Linked DNA regions of Coturnix japonica. The protein of the gene in region 3 purifies or fractionates together with the protein of the main gene of each other region. This does not show direct contact. Links are inferred from orthologs where the notes say so. Each region holds a gene or a part of one and is shown on either strand. Other genes may lie near its edges.

The links.
Region 1: the proteins of MAP4K4 (region 3) and RAP2C purify together in Homo sapiens (affinity purification with mass spectrometry; 3 studies listed by BioGRID and IntAct, counting the BioPlex papers as one, with this or other methods). This does not show direct contact. The link is inferred for Coturnix japonica from reciprocal best matches to the Homo sapiens genes MAP4K4 and RAP2C.
Region 2: the proteins of MAP4K4 (region 3) and STRN3 purify together in Homo sapiens (affinity purification with mass spectrometry; 4 studies listed by BioGRID and IntAct, with this or other methods). This does not show direct contact. The link is inferred for Coturnix japonica from reciprocal best matches to the Homo sapiens genes MAP4K4 and STRN3.
Region 4: the proteins of MAP4K4 (region 3) and STRN purify together in Homo sapiens (affinity purification with mass spectrometry; 4 studies listed by BioGRID and IntAct, with this or other methods). This does not show direct contact. The link is inferred for Coturnix japonica from reciprocal best matches to the Homo sapiens genes MAP4K4 and STRN.

What each region holds. Positions count from the first base shown.
Region 1 is NC_029519.1:3,390,549-3,395,730, forward strand, and holds the start of RAP2C (ras-related protein Rap-2c), read right to left. Parts: upstream 3,240-5,182; 5' UTR 3,124-3,239; coding exon 2,851-3,123; intron 1,253-2,850; coding exon 974-1,252; 3' UTR 933-973; intron 1-932. UniProt on the Homo sapiens protein: Small GTP-binding protein which cycles between a GDP-bound inactive and a GTP-bound active form. May play a role in cytoskeletal rearrangements and regulate cell spreading through activation of the effector TNIK.
Region 2 is NC_029520.1:30,850,216-30,855,370, forward strand, and holds the start of STRN3 (striatin-3), read left to right. Parts: upstream 1-2,146; 5' UTR 2,147-2,339; coding exon 2,340-2,654; intron 2,655-2,778; exon of another isoform or gene 2,779-3,961; intron 3,962-5,155. UniProt on the Homo sapiens protein: Calmodulin-binding scaffolding protein which is the center of the striatin-interacting phosphatase and kinase (STRIPAK) complexes.
Region 3 is NC_029516.1:120,422,945-120,427,881, reverse strand, and holds the start of MAP4K4 (mitogen-activated protein kinase kinase kinase kinase 4), read right to left. Parts: upstream 3,402-4,937; 5' UTR 3,343-3,401; coding exon 3,328-3,342; intron 1-3,327.
Region 4 is NC_029518.1:28,887,654-28,892,106, reverse strand, and holds part of STRN (striatin), read right to left. Parts: intron 3,430-4,453; coding exon 3,254-3,429; intron 2,355-3,253; coding exon 2,307-2,354; intron 1,701-2,306; coding exon 1,579-1,700; intron 716-1,578; coding exon 548-715; intron 1-547. UniProt on the Homo sapiens protein: Calmodulin-binding scaffolding protein which is the center of the striatin-interacting phosphatase and kinase (STRIPAK) complexes.

The DNA.
Region 1 (5,182 bases), on a different chromosome or scaffold from region 3:
CCCACAGCAGCAACAAGGAAAACAGAGGAGGGGGTTTCATGAGCACCTTACACAGGGATGACCGTGCTGCTGCTTGCACGGGAGGAGCAGAGCCACATACACAGCTGGGTGAGAGGCAAGGTGTGGTACAGAAGATGACCATGCAGGCAAAGGGCCTTGCAGAAGAAGGAAAGCAATACCCAAGACCAGTGAAGCCTTCAGGGTCCCTTCTGAACACTGTACTCTTGCCACACCTCTTATGAGTCACTGGGAAAGCAGAGTCAGGCCTCGGGAGGCCATTTTATCATGTATTCTCTGCTCAGGAGTCGTTAGATGAAGAACACTTTGTACATGTCCTTGACCAGTACATGTGGGCTTCAAGCCACTCCTCACAGCTCAGGGTAGTTCTCTTAAACTTATTTCACTGATAAGACAGAAATGTGCTCCAAGTACATTCAGTTTCTGTACAGCTTTTTTTTTTTTTTCTTTGAAGCAAGCTCAAAGTCTTCTCAGTGCAATTAATGGAAAGCTGGGCAAATATAACACTATTCAAGTCCAAGGTACTTCACATTAACTTGAAAATAAGTCAGATAGCAAACACAATGAGGAATCCCACTAAAATATCACAAAACATCATTAAGGATACAGTAATGTCCAATGCAGTGCTGACAGTCAGAACAGGTGGAGATGAGATTGTGAACTCTGCTGCACTACAGAATTGCTACAAGCAAAGGCAGTGTTCCCTGAACCAACACTACTGCAGTAAGGCAACAAGTCTGTGCGATTCAAGTACTTACGTGCAAAGGAACTCACGAACTTCCAGCTCTTTCAGAGGAAAGCTACCTCCAAAGCTACACCACTTAATTTCAGGCTCCTTGGCGCATTTTATCTTACTTAAACAGTAATAAATATAAAGCTTATATGCTTCAGTTAGTTACGACCGTTCAACCAACCTGCTCTGTATGGCCATGACTGAGGTTTTCCTTAACTTCTCTCACTGGACGATGCAAGTTGTACAACACTGATCTTGTTTTTCAGGCAGGGAGGCATAGTTCATTTGCCTGACGATCTCAGCAAACAGTTCATCCACCATCGTTTTGCTCTTGGCTGACGTCTCCATGAAGGGACAGCCCCATTCCTGAGCCAGAGCTCTGCCTTCTGCAGACAAGACCTCTCTCTCCGACTCCAGATCCACTTTATTCCCCACTAGGATCAGAGGGACTTTCTCGTATCTCTTCACCCGGACAATCTGGTCCCTCATTGGCTTGATGTCCTGATCAAACAATCCAAGCAGTTAGTGTGTGCAAGCAATCACATGAAATCACTATACAACCACTACAGAAGCACATTTAACCAACCATCACATGCTACTCAATACTGAACACGTTTCAAAGCTTCATTAAACTCACTGCCATGTGGATCTGGAACTCACAGGAAGTTCTACACCCACTTTTCATAATGTTTTTTCTAACTTCACATGTACAGCTATGCTTATGTTTTATAAAACAGGCCCATAAAGACATAAATCTCAGAGAGCCTTTCAGTTTGGCTGGAGGAAGACAGCCCAGCTGCTTTGAAAAGCCATTAGGATGTTTGAGTTCAGTTTACAGCTTGAGAAAGCCAATAATTTAAATAGCCTTCTCACTTGTGGAGAGCTTAAAATAATTCATTGTGAACACGTTTAATCACGTGTAAGTAACCAAATTAGATGCTGCAAGAAGATTGCATTACCTAGAGATGCATTTATTCAAGCCTGAGCTAACATTAGTTTACACAGGCTGAGTCAGACTCCTCTGCCCCCTGACTGTTTTAAGTCACTATCAGTGCCAGCCACTGAGTTCTGCAAATTCTTGCATAGTTCTGAGACAAAGCAATTAAGCATCTGAAGTCACCACTGTGTCAAAGATCCCGTAGGGTGGTTTACACCTACAGGCTTTGCAGCAAACATGCTGTAGACAGATAAAAAGAACTAAAGATTAACAGGGTGGATTGTGTATGGCCGGTTCTTGAATAATGGGGAGACACCGGTCCCCAAATACGTGAGAATGAAGGGAGAATCATCCCGACGGCCTTGTTTTCCAAAGGGAGCATGTCTGTAGCTACATGGAACCCTCTGCTAAGGCCAAACCGAGCCCTCATAGAAGCAGCCGTTCTGCTTCAGTGGGGGGTGTGCGAGGTTTCTCCAAGCAGCTGGAAAACACCCAATTCCGAAAGCAAAGCCAACACAGCAGATGCAGATCCCTGCATTGTACGCAGCGCTGCTAAACGCACGTTTCCCTTCAAATAAAGCCTCAATCCCACAGGCAGCTCAGCCCAGTCGCTGCCTCGACGCTTCCATTTTTTGAGAGCTCTAATAGCAGGACCGAGCTCAGAGCCCCGTGTTATAGCTCCAGAGCCCCACATTATAGCTCCAGAGCCCCACACTATAGCTCCAGAGCCCCGCATTATAGCTCCAGAGCCCCGCATGATCCCATCTGGCTCGCTGCTCTTCTGTGCACCACCCACGCTGCCAGAGCACCGAGCTCGTGCTGGACAGGAACGTGATTTGGGGGGATGGGGGGGGGAGGAAAACGGCATCTGATTGAGCGAGTCTTAAGTGAGGAGCAAGAATTCTCTCTTCAAAAGCAACCGAAGAAAAACGCCTTTTTAAGAAGAAAGAAGAAAAAGAAAAGAGGAAGCGTTGGTTTTAATATCGAGTGATCTCCTCGCGGAAGGGGCTCGCCTGCAGGTTTCTAACAGGGAAGTGGGAGCGGGTCATTGTTGTGCAGCACAGCGCGGGGCTCCGCGATGGGGGCAGCCCCATAAACAGCCGCACAACCAGCGGGGCCGGGCTCGGTTGTGCCGTGTGTGAGGAAGGCCGAGCCCGGTTACCTGGAAGCTCTGCTGGTTGACCAGGCTGTAGACCAGGATGAAGCCCTGCCCGTTCTTGATGTAGAGGTCCCGCATGGAGGCGAACTGCTCGGTGCCCGCCGTGTCCAGGATCTCCAGCACGGACGGCGACGAGTCCACCTCGATCTCTTTGCGGTAGAAGTCCTCGATGGTGGGGTCGTACTTCTCGATGAACGTGCCGGTGACGAACTGCACCGTGAGGGCGGACTTCCCCACCCCCCCGCTGCCCAGCACCACCACCTTGTACTCCCGCATCGGGCCCCGATCGACGCTTCCCCCCGCGCCGGGCCCGGGCCTAGGGCAGGCGGCAGCGCGGCCCTCGCATAGCCCCGGCCCCGGCAGCGCCCGGCCCCGCCCGGAAGGATTACGCTGCGACACCGGAGACGCGCCCCTCCCGCCGCTCTGCTCCGCGCGGGTCACTTCCGGCGTGTGACGTCACCGCGCCCATGGGGACGGGGTTGGGTGCGGCACCGGGTGTGCGCGCGGGGGAACGATTTGAGTGTGACACCGAGGAGCCGACCCAACATGGCGGCGGTGCTGGGGGCCGGGCCTCGTGTGGAGGGCGGTGCCAACAAGGGGCCGGGTTCAGCCCTGAAACCCCCCCTGAAGCCCCCTGGGGCTTTCAGTGCCCGGCTGGGCTCCAGGGCACCTCCAACACCAGCACAGCCCGACCGCCGCGCGGCTGTGTGCGTAAATAGCGTTATTTGTTCACAGGTCCAGAGCTGCCGCCCGGTTCTAATCGGCGACTGATGGAGGGAGACAAGGGGAAAGGATGAGGATGAGGGTTATAATAATGAGATTACACGGTCACTTGGGCTCCTTGTGTGCGCCTCTCTGTGGTGCCGCCCGGCCTGTGTGCAACGGGTGGAGGAATGAGGGAGGAAATAATGGGGCTCGGGTGGAGGGATGAGTGAGGAAATGGGGCTGGGGTGGAGGGATGAGGGAGGAAATGGGGCTGGGGTGGAGGGATGTGTGAGGAAATGGGGCTGGGGTGGAGGGATGAGGGAGGAAATGGGGCTGGGGTGGAGGAATGAGGGAGGAAATGGGGCTGGGGTGGAAGGATGAGTGAGGAAATGGGGCTGGGGTGGAGGAATGAATGAGAAAATGGGTTTGGGGTGGAGGAATGAGGGAGGAAATGGGGCTGGGGTGGAGGGATGAGGGAGGAAATAAATGGGGCTGGGGTGGAGGAATGAGGGAGGAAATGGGGCTGGGGGCAAAGAGTGGGACCCAGCGTTGGGGCGGCCTCGTGCACAGAGCTGGGATTGATCACAGAATCACAGAATGATCAAGGTTGGAAAAGCCCTAGAAGATCATCCAGTCCAACCATCACCAATACTTCCCAGTTAAATCATATCCCTCAACACAACATCCAGACGTTTCTTGAACACTCCCATGGTCGGTGACTCCACCACCTCCGTGGGCAGTGCATTCCAATGCCTGACCATCCTGCAGCTCCCATTCATCCAGCTGCTGTTTGTCCATGGCCAACCCTTCACCTCCAGCCAGCAGCACCTTCCTGCTGCTCTGTGCTGCCCTCACCTCTTTGTAGCGCTCCCTGTGTCTGTGGCCCGGTTTAATCACTGCTGTTTGTTACCCATCTCTTGCCAAGGAGAACGACGCAGGGCTGGGCCCATGGGAGGCTTCGCTCTCCCTCAGCAAAACAAACCTCTTAAATGAGCATCTGGGCTGGATCTGATTCCTGCTCTGTGCTATTGATGTGCTCCTCTGCTCCGTGCCGTGCCCGTGGCCAGCAACAATAAAGCAGGCGGTTATTAAATTAACCTGCTAAGACACACATCCTGCAGGGATGTTCGGGGAACAGACAGATGGCACAAGCAAAGGGCCGGGACTAATTGCAATCCCCAGCTCACAAAGTTGAGGGGCTGCTCCTGCACACTGCCCTGTCCTGAAGCTCGAGGAGGAGCAGCCCGGGCTCTTGAGGGGAGGGAGCAGCTCCCATGGCAGGGTACAGTCACTTCCTCACCAGACAAAGCACGAGCAGCGCCCCGACTGCTGCTGCTGCCTCTGCAGGCTGCAATGACTGAGCAGAGGTGGCTGTGACTCACTGCCTCTGCACGAGCTCTGCACCAGGCCCTTGCCAGCGGGTCTACAGCAGGCGGCAGAGCAGAGGCTGCTCCAGCAGGGACAGCCAGGAGTTCACCTGAGTTACGCTCTAGCCAGGTACAAAGTATGTGTGAATACGCGCAAAAGAAGCTGAAGACTTTGTGTCATTTCTTCAGCAGCCCCATAATAATAAAAGCAGCTTTCTGTTTCAGCTCCTTCACAGTATGACGAGGTCTGTCTTAGGGGCTGG
Region 2 (5,155 bases), on a different chromosome or scaffold from region 3:
CTGGTGAGGCAGCGCAGACTGTCCCTATTGGTGAGTCACACCCCTGTACGCCTCTGTTCAGATACTTGCTGAGACCTCTTAGAGAGGCCAAGCCTGCAATACCTGTTCTGGGGATAAAAGGAGGTCTTACATCTCCAGTGCGGCCAGCCCAGCAGATCTCACATGCAGTGATAGAAAAGACAATTTTAATCACATCTCCAATAGCTACAAGCACTTAACACTAATTTATTTTGTCCAAGATTTCACCAATATCTGCACATACATACTCGTAGAATATAAAAAAGAAATACAACCCCAGTTTGAGACCTCAGGCAGTAGAGTAGATTTGTGTGACGAATTCAAACCACTCTAGTCGACATTCACAGATCTAGAAGTTATTATGAGACATCAAAGTTCTCCAACACTTTAGGACTCTGAGTTAAAGCATAATTAAGAGATCAAATCTAGCAAACAAGAAACACGTGGCTATATTTATATATATATTTATTTTGACAAGAATTAAACAGAACTGCAAGTCAATAATTCACAGCATTGTCTATAAATTAGATGATTTTCTGGACACAGAGGTTTTAATTGTGTTTTATCTGTACTAAATGTAGAACAAAATAGGTTAACCTGGAATTAAAAATGGCCCAGTGGCCCAGTGCGAGCAGGGGACAGCAGGTGGGCAAACACTTTTGAGGTATACACTGGTCTGATCAACTTTCCAGCTACGAGTCTGCTGTGAAAAAGCATGTAGCAAATGAAGACAGTTCATATGGTTTATACCTGTGTTCTATTTATTTTTGTTGTTGTTCTGACTGTGCACAGGCTTTACTAAAACTCGTATCAATAAGAGTGACCATTTTTGTATTCTGGGCCTTAGCCTTCAAATTACTGTCCACCCAGAAATGAAACAACTTTGTCAACGTGGCTTTGAAATAAATCACCATATTTAACTTCAGGATGAGGAATTTTAAGAAAAGCAGCCTTACTAATCTGGGGAAGCCAAGGAGGAAGGAAGCAGCTAAAAAAGTTTTCCTTTGCAGAGCGGTTGTCAGCATGCTGCCTGAATATAGTAACGGAGCTAAACTGCAGCACTTCCAAGGTAATGGGCAATGAGGAATGTCTCAAGGGCTGGAGTAAAACAAAGGGCCAAGAGGACTGTGAGGTAAGGGGCAATTTTTGGTCACGATTTGATACTGTCTGGGGAGAATGAAAAAATCTGCTGAGGTGGAAAAGTTGGATTCAGACAGGCTGATCAGTGTGGAAAAGGGAAGACTGAGGAAATGATGGTAGGAAATGACTTAATGGAGAAAAGTCGGATAGGAACTGGTAAAACAACTGAAACAGCAACATGCACCTGAGGTCAGCAGAGAGGAAATGCCAGCACTGGGACAAGCAGGATTTATTTTTCGGCATTTAATACAATTACAGCACTGTCAAGAACGAGCCCATTAAGGACACCATCCATGTTCCACCCATATATACAGCATATGCATTTTTAGGGAAGTAAAACCGAACCCGTGTGTTATTTGTGAAGGGGCGGCCTACAGATCCACCAGGACGTGGTGGGCACTTGGTAGCGCTGCATTTCAGGGCAGTGCTGTGCAGCCCAGCTTTCACCACGTCCATGCTGTGCAGCCAACCCGGGCTGTGCTGCCATGGCACACCAAACCTGCTGCTAATGTGCGCGCTCGTTCTTCCCATCACGGAGGGGAAACATTACACAAACCCCTCAACTACAACAGCACGAAGACGACCTTCATTACAATACAATTAGGATCGGGCACCGCCAGAGCACTTTCAGCCAACCTGTTCTAGAACCACCTACTTGTGAGACACACCGAGCAGCGCCCAGCACAGCCCGGCGAGGCACAACCGGAGCGGCCTTACAGCCCCTCCCAAAGCGGCCGCCCCCCGCCCGCTCAGTGAGCAGTATCGGTATCGGTATCATCAGTATCAGTATCAGTATCAGTATCAGTATCAGCCCGCACTGCCCCTCAGCGCAGCCCCCCCCAGGTCACGGCGCTCACCTCCCCCAGGCGCATGCGCGCTCCGCCGCCTCGTCGGGCCGGGAGGAAGGAGCGGAGGGGAGAGGGGAGCGAGTTCCCGGCATGCCCCGCGCGCCGTGCCGCTCCCCCTTCCCGTGTGGGTGGGCCGAGGCCCGGCGGGCTGTAATGGCGGCTGGCGGCGGCTGGGCGCTGCTCTGACACCCGGATACCGCTCGGCGCGGCCCCCCGCCTCCCCGTACCCGGCCCGCCCCCTCCCGCCCGCCGCAGCCAGCGCCGCTCGCCCCCTCCCCGGCCCCCGTTCGTGGCCCCCCGCCGCGGGACGAGAAGGAGGGCTCCCCGCAGACAATGGACGAGCACCCCGGAGCCGGAGGAGGCGGCGGGATGGCGGCCGCGCCGAGGCCGCAGCAGCCCTCGCCGCAGAGCGGGGGTAACGCGAACCTGCAGCCGGGCGGGGGCTGCGCGGGGGCCGGAGCCGGCGGCGGAGGGCAGCAGCAGCCGCAGGGCCCCGCGGCCCCGGGCGGGCAGGAGGCGGCGGGCCCCGCCGAGCTGTCCCGGCCGCAGCACTACACGATCCCGGGGATCCTGCACTACATCCAGCACGAGTGGGCCCGCTTCGAGATGGAACGGGCGCACTGGGAGGTGGAGCGGGCCGAGCTGCAGGTACGGGCCCAGGGTGGGCTCCGCGCGCGGGGCCGGGACCGACTCGGGGTCTCGGGGCCGCACGGGAGAGCGGGGCCGGCGGGTCGCCAAGGCCGGGGCGGTCGCTGCGGGACGGGAGCGGTACCTGCGCGAGGGCCGGACGGCGAAGCGACGTCGCCGGGCGGCGGGGCTGGCGGAGGCGCGGCCGCTCACGGCCCGAGCTGGGCTCCCTTCCCTGGGGCAGCCATTTTGGTTTTTAGCATGGCGCCCGCCTGGGCTGTTGGCGCCGGAGCCAACCCGGCTCCGCGGGCCTCGAGGGCCGCAAAACGCCGGAGGAGGGCGGGCGGCCGCTGAGCGCGCTGATCGGTCGTGCGGGGCAGGGCCCGGAGCGCCCTGACAGCTGCGGTCCCCTCCCCGAGCACAATGACTCGGGGGCTTTCGGAGCCCGGCCCTGCTCAGCCCTGGGTGCTGCTTTGGGAAAGCTGCGGCCCGCGGGCGTGGAAGGATACGGCTTCACCGGAGCTGAGCGAGCGGCTCCTTCGGGGTAGCGGGGAGGCGGCGGTGCCTGCCGAGGTGGGAGAACGCTGAGAACGGGGTCGAGAAATCTCGCAAGCAACGGACTTGACCGGGTTCTCACGGTGGAGACAGGTCGAACACATGCTCTCTTTCCTTCCTTTTTGTTTCTTGGGAGACCTCACGTGGGAGAAGCAACTGCTGAAGAATAGTGAGGAGCTGATGGGTCTGCAGTGTGATCCTTGTCCTACAAATACAAACTCTGTGTCAGGAGCAAAAATTGAACAACTCTAGAGGGCAGGGAGCAAGTGTTTGAGTTCCAGCATAGATCTCTGGCCATAAATGTTTGCTTTTCATAATGGAAAAGATCTCTTGTATTTACGTGTTCATATAAAAAATAAAGCCACGCATCACAAACTTATGTTCAGTTTATGAAATCTACAGAGTCTGAGGCATTTGTCTATAAGTTGTGCATTTTTTTTTCTCCTATGAAAGCATAACAGTTAAAATTGTTTAAAAAAGAATGTTTCTTGTTATGATTTATATGTTGGGTGAATGTTTGCAGTCTTGAAGCAGCATTCCATCAAATCACGCCTTACCTGCAGTTTGTGGAAACATGCTGTAGCAGCAGCCAGTGTTTGTGATGTACGTCTGTGTACATCTTGATGTATGTCTGTGTACATCTTCAGACTGTAGAATGGAGAACTCTACCTAAACCTGGACAATTCTTTCAGGATTTTTCAACTCTTAGACCACATGTGTAATTTGCAGGGTTGTTGTTGTTACAGCTTGAATTGAGATAGAATAAAAGAAAACAAAACATCACACCTTCCCCCTCCTCCCCCCAGAAAAAAATAAATAAATAAATAGTAAGAGAGATTTTGCTATTTATTTCACTTACTGCCTGATTTACTATTTTAAACCTTTCAGAACAGCTGATCCTAAAATCACTGTGGTGGAAATGGGGTGGGTATTTTCAGTAGCAATGGACTTGTTCTCATATCTTCTGTAGCGTCTCAGTAGTATAGTACTGTATTGATAGGTAAATAAATAGCTCAGTGGTGTTCATTATCAAGCAAGACCATCTTGAAGTACTTGTTTTGTGTATAGGCTTGTGACTTCACAGTGAAGTACCTCGTTCTATAAATGTAAGGTGCAGTTTTGAGATGTTGAAAACTCTGACTGGAAGTGCTGGTGTGAACTCATGTGGCCTCTAGATACTGTGATGTGTTTCTGCCAAGTCTGCTGCTTTTTTTTCTATGTAACTGTAGTTTGTCATTCACAGCCACAATGTTTCATTTGCTTGTTACTTAATCTGCCATCCTAGTTCTGATCCTGGCTTTGTATGTGTTGCTTCACTCTATCTGTGTGTGTGCATTAGGTCATGGGAAGCAGGAGCAGTGCTCCCTGCCCAGTGTGTGTGTATGAGGGGAACTTTTTTGTTTTTTTGCTGACTTCAGAAGCCCAGGATAGAAGTGTGATCAGGAAGGAGGCAGGGAGAGTGTGTTTCCTTTGCATGTTAGATGTCAGCCTTCATAGTGATTAAGTTCAGTATAGGACTGTGTTAAGCGTGTTCTTTTGGAGGACGTGCATGAAAACCAGGCCCTATGGTTTTCATGTATGTGTGTGTATGTTTATAGCATATAATTACTTTTTGGTCCTACAACTCAAGTAATGAAGTCCCAGTTTATTCTGTGACTAATAAAACATTTTGAACCCCAAACAACTGCTTTGCCCTTTGAAGCCTCTATGACTGTTGTTCATCTGTGAATGCAGCCTCCTGAGTTGAACAGGAAAAAAATCTGGTAGCATGACAGTAGTAATTAATATGGAAGCTAGAAGCATGAGAACTACATTTCATAGATGCAGCTCTCACCCATGCAGGTAGTTTCTTCCTTCTTTAGTAATTAAAGGTCCCTTCCTAAGTTGACTTGATAACTTTGCAAATAACACTTTACAAAGAGTATGTGGAAAACCAAATGACTTAGCAGAACGTTGTTTTATTTTCT
Region 3 (4,937 bases):
CCTTTCAGTGCTTGCTTGAGTGCTGTAGATCTGTGCATTTATACAGACCTACACGATTTTACAGAGCTTTCCCTAATTTGTTTAGAAAAAAGTGGAAGAGACGGCAAATCTGCACGTCAACATCCCCCACCATTTCAGGCAGCAGTACTGACGAGTCATAATATATTCAAAGATCAAGCTGATATCTTCAGCCCACCTCCTCTTTTCTCATCCTTACCACCATTCTTCTCAAAATTAAAATCTGAATAGAAAACCACAAGAAAAGCTGGGAAGGATGAAGAGCATTTCCAAAACACCATGTACAGCTTGAGCTATAATGTTTCTTCCAGCGTTGCTAGTTGGAGGTTACACTACCTCATTTTCTTTGTGCCAACCAAAACTTTCTAAGGGAAGTCTTCACTTTGACTTGGACATTCCTTCTGTTCAGGTCATCAAAGCTTTACAGAGCTGATGTAACCTTGGTGATCATGAGCAGTGCAGGAACTGCAGAACCGGGCCTTGAAAATTGAAAATCTGAGGCGTGTCTACAGAGCTTGCCAACACATTAGGCTTTCTAATTTTTTAAGTGTTTGGCAAAGCAAGCACTGGATCAGAGGTACCTGAGAAAAAAGAAAGTCTTGTGTGTGTTCTCAGCACCAGTTAAACACAACAATCAGATATCATCCACAGCACCACTTAAGCATTAAGTACTGCCAGCAATACACGTACCAAGGCACGAATCATCTACAGCCTCAATAGCTGCCCATTAAAAAAAAAGCATTACAATTTCAGTTTTTTAGGAGAGTGTCCATTCCAGTCTCTTTCCCCCATATATGCACAGATGATAGTTACCATTAGTTCACAAGAGCAGCTCATGAAAATATAGCTAGGAAAGCAAGTGGAGAAGATCCTTGTGTTGAGAAGGTCCTTACATTCTCTGCTCTTAACCATCTTGCTGTCAGCTAGAATGATGATGAAGCTGCTTTAAATGTGATTTGCCAGTAAAGGAGATGCTCAGAAAACCATTCCTTGAGGAAACCAAGCCATACCTGGATGGCAAGGCCATCTTCGGCAGCAATACCACTCGGAGCTCTTTCTTCCCCTACACCTCCATGGTCATCAATGGCTCTTTCCCAATCTCATGCCACTTTCATCACAGTAAAGACTACATGCTAAAATAGAGCAGCAAACTTATCCAGGTTATAAATAACCAGCAGGAAGAGAAAAGTGAGGGAATTTTTAGGGGAACTGAAGGCTGCTCACTGATCTGAGTCACTGCCTGGACCAAAGCCTTGATGCCAGCACAAATACGGGGATGCAGACAGGGAGCCAAGTACTGACTCCAGTAGGAGCGGACAGGAATATCCTATGGGAATATCATCCATGCCTGGTGTTAAAAAGTACAGTTGACTTAGCATGACTTGGAAGAATTTACACCGCATTTTTGGCCTCCAAAGGCTCATTACTTTGAAGTAAAAACACATGAGCTTCAACTGTAGGAACAGCGACGCTTTTACACTGTGTGGGGTTAACATCTCCCAATCCTCCCTCTGGCTGCTATGCAGCCCCTAAGAAAGAATGAGCTTGTGAGGTAGAAGATGGTGCCAATACACAACTTTCAAAACCAGCCCAAATCTGCAGCAAGTTTCAAAACATAAACTATCTCCTGCAACATGAGCTCAGCCACGCTATACCCAGCATTATTCAATTGTTTGCCTTTTGCTGTGCAACCTCTCCATCACAACTGTTTGTGATTAATATATGCTATTAAAAACAGAGGGAAGTGTGCAATACAACCAAGCTTAGTGTTATAGAAGAAACCTTCACTGCTACAGTCCAGCAAGCTGCTCTACTTCACGCTGCTGCACAAATGGAAACATTTGCTGAGCAAAGAGCATTCATTTTATGTCATCGCACCTTCATCCTTCTCTGTTTTGTCTACATATTAACTGCAGAAAAATAGCGCTGCCTCTTGAGAAGGCAACCTTTGAAAATTTCCAGCTGAACATCAGTTTTTATCAGGCCATCTTACAAAGCAAGAATGTCTAGCTCTTGGCAGACACAACTGCTTCAGTTAAGAGATCAGCAGTCACGCTGCTCATCGATCACAGGGAGATCAAGAGATAGAACTGAAGTACTATCAGTTGACCCATCCCTGCCTTCTTGTTTTCCTCCTTGTCCTGCCTGATCACCCATCACACCTCAGTTACTTGCCAGGCAGCTTCTGTCCATTTTGATCTGCCAGGGCCCACACACACAATATCAAAATAGAAAATATTTTGCAGCAATACCCTTGTAAGAGCTTTTTGCTTAATACAACCAGCTTGCCAAAGACCCCTGCTCTAATGCAATGTATACACATTAACCTGATTTTTCCCCTAGTGTCTCTGTAAAACTGAGGAGTTTAGAAAATTAAGATGCTCTGTTTCAGGATGAACTTCAAACAGTGCAGTGTCAGTCAAGCATTGTGGATACTACACAAAAGGATCTAATTCGATTTTAAATCTCAAGCCGTTGCCGAGGTTGTAACTTGGTAAAACACAACTGGAATCAACAGGAAAAAGCCATGCTTTTTCTGGTCTGTTTTGAAGTCTTAATTTAAACTGATTGCTTTTTGAACAGTATAAACTACATGACAGCTCAGGATTCAAGCATGGATGTATATTTTTTATTTCTGTGGCTGGGTTAATTTCCCGTCTTTCTCATCTAAAGCTCCACAGTAAATCCCCTTGGGTCAGTTACAACTACTACTTTACACTGCTGAATTCTGCCAGCAATCTGCTCATCGTTCCTGCAGATGTTTCTGCTTTCAGGCTTCTGGGAACTTTATTGGACCCATTTCCTTTGAATAAATGTACGCCCTTTTTAGGCTGCAAATGTACCAAGGAAACTACTGTCAAGCAGCCTCCTCACCTTCTTTTTTTGGTAAGGCAGATGTATGATGATATATTTAAAAGAAAAAAAAAGTAGGAAGTGGGGAATGTTCCTTTCCTCCCCACTTCTGAGAAGTTTCAGGTAAGGGAGTGCTACACAGAATCAAAGAATTGTAGGAGTTGGAAGGGACCTCCAGTGATCATCGAGTCCAACCCCCTGCCAAAGCAGGTTTCCTACCCGTGCTCCTGGGAGCAGCCACGGCAATTTATGAAAGGCCAGAGGCCCCTCCACACAAGCACACAGAAATCTCATAATGGGTAGACAGGCTCAAGAGGTCAGGCCCTGCAAACAGAAAGCAAATGTTCACTTGCAAGGACCGTGCCCTTCCACATAAACCTGAGGTAAACCGTATGCCGTCTCTTGCCGTCGAATTTTACTCACATTACTAACCAAGCAGAATGTTTCTCTACTCACCTCAGTAACGTCCATGACTTTGATGGCTGCCAACTGGCCTGTTTTGACATGTCGACCCTGAAAAGAGAGAGAAGCATCAGCACCAGCACTTCACCAATCCCTTGAGCACACACAGAGCAAAGCATTTGGAGATCTTCAGCTGCTGGGTTTTGCCCAGCTGTGCTGGACTCTTCCACTATTTCACTTGAAAAGCAACACATACACTAGATAGCTAAAGGAGATTCCTTTTAAAATGTTCTTTAGAAATGTTAGGTCTTTATCTCCACATTAAGAGGATGATCATTAAGATTAAGCACAGACATTACGTTTGCTTCTTTTCTTTCTACTTCAGCAAAGCTCATAGTCAGTACGGATCATTTATTAACGCATCAGAATGTTCAACTCCATATAGCACGTATTTTATTTGTAAGCTTTGCTTTATTTACTGGGTAAATGCACACAAGCTGGGTGACCAAAAAAGTATGTTTGTCTTTGCTTTGGTCTTCACTGTTAGGTAAAACTAAAGATATAAAATGCTGGGGTTTCTTCAAGTGATGTACTGGACCTGAAGAGCTCTCTTTGTCTTGTCTCTTGATGATGAAGAGGATGTCTCCCTTCAGCTACAGCACCATAAGGGTACGGCTCCTCTGTACAGCTTGAGCTGAATTAATAGATCCCAGCTACTGCAGTGGGGAGCTCCTTCCCCTGCCTCCCTCCCTCCCTCCTCCTGTCACATATTTCTCCCATGAGCATCTAGCTCATTCTGGCACTCATCAGATCATATGATAAGCTGATTTAGATCACTGAAATGGCAGAAAGTTAACACAGAAAAAGCAAACTGCGGGGCAGGGAGGAGGAGGGATGCAGATCAGGAAATTAAATGGGCTTGCTCTGCAAGCAGAGCAGAACCAGAGCTGGCACAGGGCAAACCACGTGGCAGGGAGACAGAAGCACAACAGCCCCTTTCCAGCTCCGCTGAGCTGCGACTCAGCACAGCTGATTTGTGACAAAAAAACACTTTTCTCTGGTACATTTTTTGCAGAGGTTGGGGCCATATTGATTAACTCTACTTCTTTTTCTTCTAACGAGCCTTTAGCAATGGTTCCAGCCCTTCACATAACACTGAGTCTGCTTGAGGATGTCCAGCTCAACAGTCCAGCAGTGCTTTACATATTCAAGATCGGCACCCCAGAAGGACACCAAGGCAAACCACCAGTCCCTCTGGACAAATCTCAGCCCCCTCATACTTTGCCATGCCCTCTGCAGAGGTAATGTCCAGGTATTTCTGCTGCATGACAAAGGACTCAGATGAAATGCTGCAGAATTTACAGCCTCCAGCTTCTTTTACAACTTGCATTGCGCTGCACTCTCCCCTCATTAACCAATCCACATGTTTTCTATAAATAAATTACCGTACTCGGGATTCTGCCTGCTCTGTAAAGCCTTGTTATTACACACATTTCTTTTTACAGTTTGCTCTCAAACTAGGCTGGATTTCGAAACAAAATTAGGATTATAACATATGTGCAATGGCCAAGACTGACCTCCCTTTGACCCTGCTACTTCTTGAGGCTTTCAGCAAGCCTTGGGGATCTGCAACTCCAACACCCCACCCTGGACCTCTGCCTAAT
Region 4 (4,453 bases), on a different chromosome or scaffold from region 3:
ATTTTGGAACGCGCATTACATTTCAGTAATTAAACCCTAATGACTAAATTTTTTCAACTAACAGCATTTAGGATGACTAGATTATTGCTTTTTAGTTCATTCAAAAATTCATGAATTCATTGAAAGTAGCAATCTCTGTCAGAAGCACTAGGAACCTCAACTGGAAAGGTGCTAGGATGCTGAGCTGGACCTAAGCACTGGCTATTTCAAACCTCTCTGGGGGTAAGAAAGGGTTTTTTATTCTTGACAAACCAGTTGCAAGGGCCTAATGGAAACTCACTTTGAATTTGAACTATGGAACAGCTACATTATACTCTGGATCCAGCAATATCAGCAAGTAACCTACAACACATAGTTTTTAGGTATGTGTGACTGTCCGCCTGTGTGTATTTATCAATAATGGCTGGTGTCAAAATCCAAAATCTACTGCTCTTCTAAACAATCATAACAGTATAAAATCCAGTAAACAAACAAGAAAGGATTTCTACTCAGTAGTCAAGATTATGGTAGTCTGAACAGTTAAGCTAATGAACTTAAAATTCCATACCTTGATTATCATTAAATACACTGAGAGCTGGAGCAACTTCTGTAGCTTTCCATAAACGTACAGTGCCGTCTGCAGAACAGGACAGCAAACGCTGGTGTGTGCCACTGTAAACCAGACCCCACACTGCATCAGTATGGCCTACAAAAGCACCTCTTAGAACAGAAGGATCTGTGAACAAAAGACAAACAAACCATATTTCAAAATAAAAGTTGAATTAAGTGAATTGTTTTATCTTGGTCTGTGTGTATGAAGAAGCCGTAACAAGTCAGTCCACAAAAAAAAACCACAAAACAAACAACAACAAAAAGACTAATAGCCAAGACAAGCAGGTCTTATCAGTATAATAGTTCCAATTATTCTATTATTCTTCTTTAATTTCATCAGCACAAGTGGCATTCAGTTTCTCAGTTTGTATTTAATTGAACAAAACAAATTTTCAGCAGAATAAATGGTATTAAAGATAATAAAACAGATTTTGATTTAAAAACTCACTCTTATGGAGCCACTAATGGTATATGTTAGTCTTTTTTCCAAAAGACAGCTTTGAGGCCAATCATATCTGATGCTATGAGATGTGAGGAACATTTTAAAACAGACACAAGGCTGATGCCTATTTATAGCTCATAAACTTTACTGAAATATGTGATTTTAACCGTTTGTAGATAATATTAACAGCTTTGGTCTCAAACTCTACAACCTCTTTATCTCAGCAGCACAGATTTGTAAATGAATATTTATACATACATTTCCTGTCCTTTTTGGGTATCAGGTTTAGTTAGTCCTGTGCTTTTTCAACCTAGTTGTATACCAGAACTGTAATGAGACTGAGGCTCTTTTTAAGAAAATGACAAATACCATCTTCTCATCAACCAACATCATTATTAAAACAAAAATCTACATTAACTGGAGCAAACATTCAAGCTTCTCTTTCACTTTTTCCAAGAAATACTACCTACAAATTATACCATTTTAGCTACACATGGTTAATGTCACTAAATGTGTTCTTTTGCCGGTGTCTGACAGCTATGTACCATAAGAGTCATAGGGGTCGATGTTTGGATTTGTTGTATTCCAGCCATGGATGAGGCCATCAGTTCCCCCACTGTAACACTGTTCGCCATTACTGCTCATCACCACACAAAGCACTGGTCCACTGGAAGAAACCACATGCCAAAAAGTTGACTATTAACATTTTCATTAAGTGATAAATATTGTCATCTTCAAATTTTCCTGTTAAATACAATTAATTTGCTTCACTAGCTGCAATGGAAATTCTGCATTCTCAGATCATAGGCTACACACTACTTCCCACAACAGTATCTCTTCAATATTTGGTAATTTAACTACAGTAAGGACAATTCAGACATTTCATATTTTGAGATTATAGGTTTTATTTTCTTTTTTTCCCTTTATAAAAGTTGAAGATTTTTCTATAAAAACAATTCAGTAGATTTTAATTCACTGGACACAGCTTCATTCTACATATACACATATCTGACAAAAAGGCAAGAGCCTTTTTGAGATGGAAAATCTAGTTGAATGTGAACTGCATAATTTATAGCTTTCTCTTTTATAAATGGTAGTGTACCCAGAGCCAGACAAAAATAGACGAAAATAAGCAGGTATTTTAAATAACATGGGAATAAAAGTACTGCATGGAATCACTAGTTGACATGGTGGGAATGGCTTTAAAATTTTTTGTGTCTGTTTAGAAATCATGTATTTCTCAAATAAAATGGTGTTCTTATAAAAAACTCACCTGTGTGCTCTGAAGGTATATATTGGCTCCACATCAAGAGAAGCACTCCTAAATGAAGTACAAGAAAATGTTAACACACATATGACCTTACATTATGCTTTACAAAAATGTGCCAGAATTAGTAAGGTCTTAAAAATCACTGCTACCTCTTTTGAAATCTCTGCACATCAGTGCAGAGTACATCAGTGGTGGGGAAGGAGTAGAGGGCTATCAGCATCATATGGAGTATTTCCTTAAATGTTACAAATTCCTACCCAAGGAAAGGGTTTGTAATGCCTTGCCTTTAAACCAAAGCTCTAACACAGTTACAAATCACTTAAACTCCTGCTCAGGACTTTACCAGTCAGGTGTTGGGTTGTTTTTGTCTTGTTTTGTTTTATTTAATTACAGACTTCAGGACTACCACCGGCATTGTCCAGTCTTCATAAAAGGTATGATGAACAGCTGTCACTACGTTAGCGTTATTACAAATATATTCGTTTCCTCATGTCCCTAACAATATGAAGGAAACACTGTACACATAAACCTAGCAACACTGCCATCAATGTTTAATTCTGTACATATGTATTCGTGCACATGAGTATACATTTACTTTTTACATATAGCCAAGTTATGCTTATATATTTATACACAGATTCAAGCATACTATGAGGTCACACCCAAATATTTTACTAGTAAATTAGTTTCCCATCTTAGTCTACGCACAAAATACATATATTGAAAAAGAAGGAACGTTTTTTCTTTTTAAAAAATAAAATGAATTCATGAACGTGCATTGATTTCTTCTGGCATGCTCTAAAAGTCTCCATAATTCTCTAAGAGTTTGCTTTTGTACTTAAGGAACAATTTCCGTTAACTCCAAAGGACCACCAGATGAAGCCATATCCACAATTTTATTTAGATAAGTACAATGCTTTAAGGAAGTAAAGAAAAAAAAAAAATCTTACTTTTTTGCTGGGGCTGTTTTTTGTAAATTCCACATTTTTAATGTATGGTCCTCTGAAGCTGTTATTAGTACTGGTTCAACTGGATGAAAAGCTAAGCCTCTTATTCCATCAAAGTGGCTTCTTAATGTGAATTTGGGGTTCCAGGTCTTTCTCAGTGCATCTGTATTGTTTCCTATCTAAAAATAATAATAAAAAGGCCACATTTGTGATTAATCAGATACAAGGAAAGGATATCAGAGCTTTAGTTTGCCATTCTCAGAAGATGACAAATTACCTTTTTTTCATTATAACCTGTTGAATAACAGTCCACTGAAAGCTCATCAGACTACTCAAGTATGAAGATAGATACTCTACAAAGGCAACAAGTCTATCTCTGCAGCAATGCATTCTGTGCAAATCTTAAATACTCCACATGTCTATTAGGTTGCACAAATTAAAGGTTGTAAAGCACCTTTCTGACTAATACTGCTATAAATTTTGGTATTTGAAAGTTGACGTAGCTGTTGGCCCATTCATTAATGCTGGGCTTTAATCAAGCAAACTGCTGTGCCTGAATATCTGAAGTACCACTAACATGTTATCTATCTATATCTAATAGGGATCTAACAGAAATGGAGAGATGTCTAGCAGTGCAAAAAGGAAGACAGTCTAACCTATTCACTTAAGGCAATACAAGTTCTGTGACAGCACACAACAAGATGATCTTGCCAGAAAACAATTTTAAAAAGGCAAAAAAGTCTTGGCTACATACTAAGAATATTACTGGCAAGCACTAAGATGTCATATACACAGAGGTAGCTACTTGGCACTGAATGCATTTTACACAGATCCAAAAAGAAAGCCCTAAAAGATAAACAGTTACTTCAACATTGTTCCTCTGAACAGATGTAGTAAAAGGTCAAATGGACTTCTATGAATTTCTCAACCAAGATTGCCATGGTTAAATTTGCCCTGCTGTAATCACTGCAAACAATCCATTAATAAAGCACTGATATAAACAGTCATGCTTAAGATACAAATACTTTCACTATATTGAAAGCAATGGATAATCCCAAATAATTAAGTTTTATCAACTTCAATAAAGAAATAACTATCATGAGACACTTTGAGAATCTATGTTTTGTTCTAGAATCTAAACCAAAAATAGGTTTAAGAACAAGAGTTGTTCTGTTTCTCTTTCTAGTGTTGCTTTTGGATTTA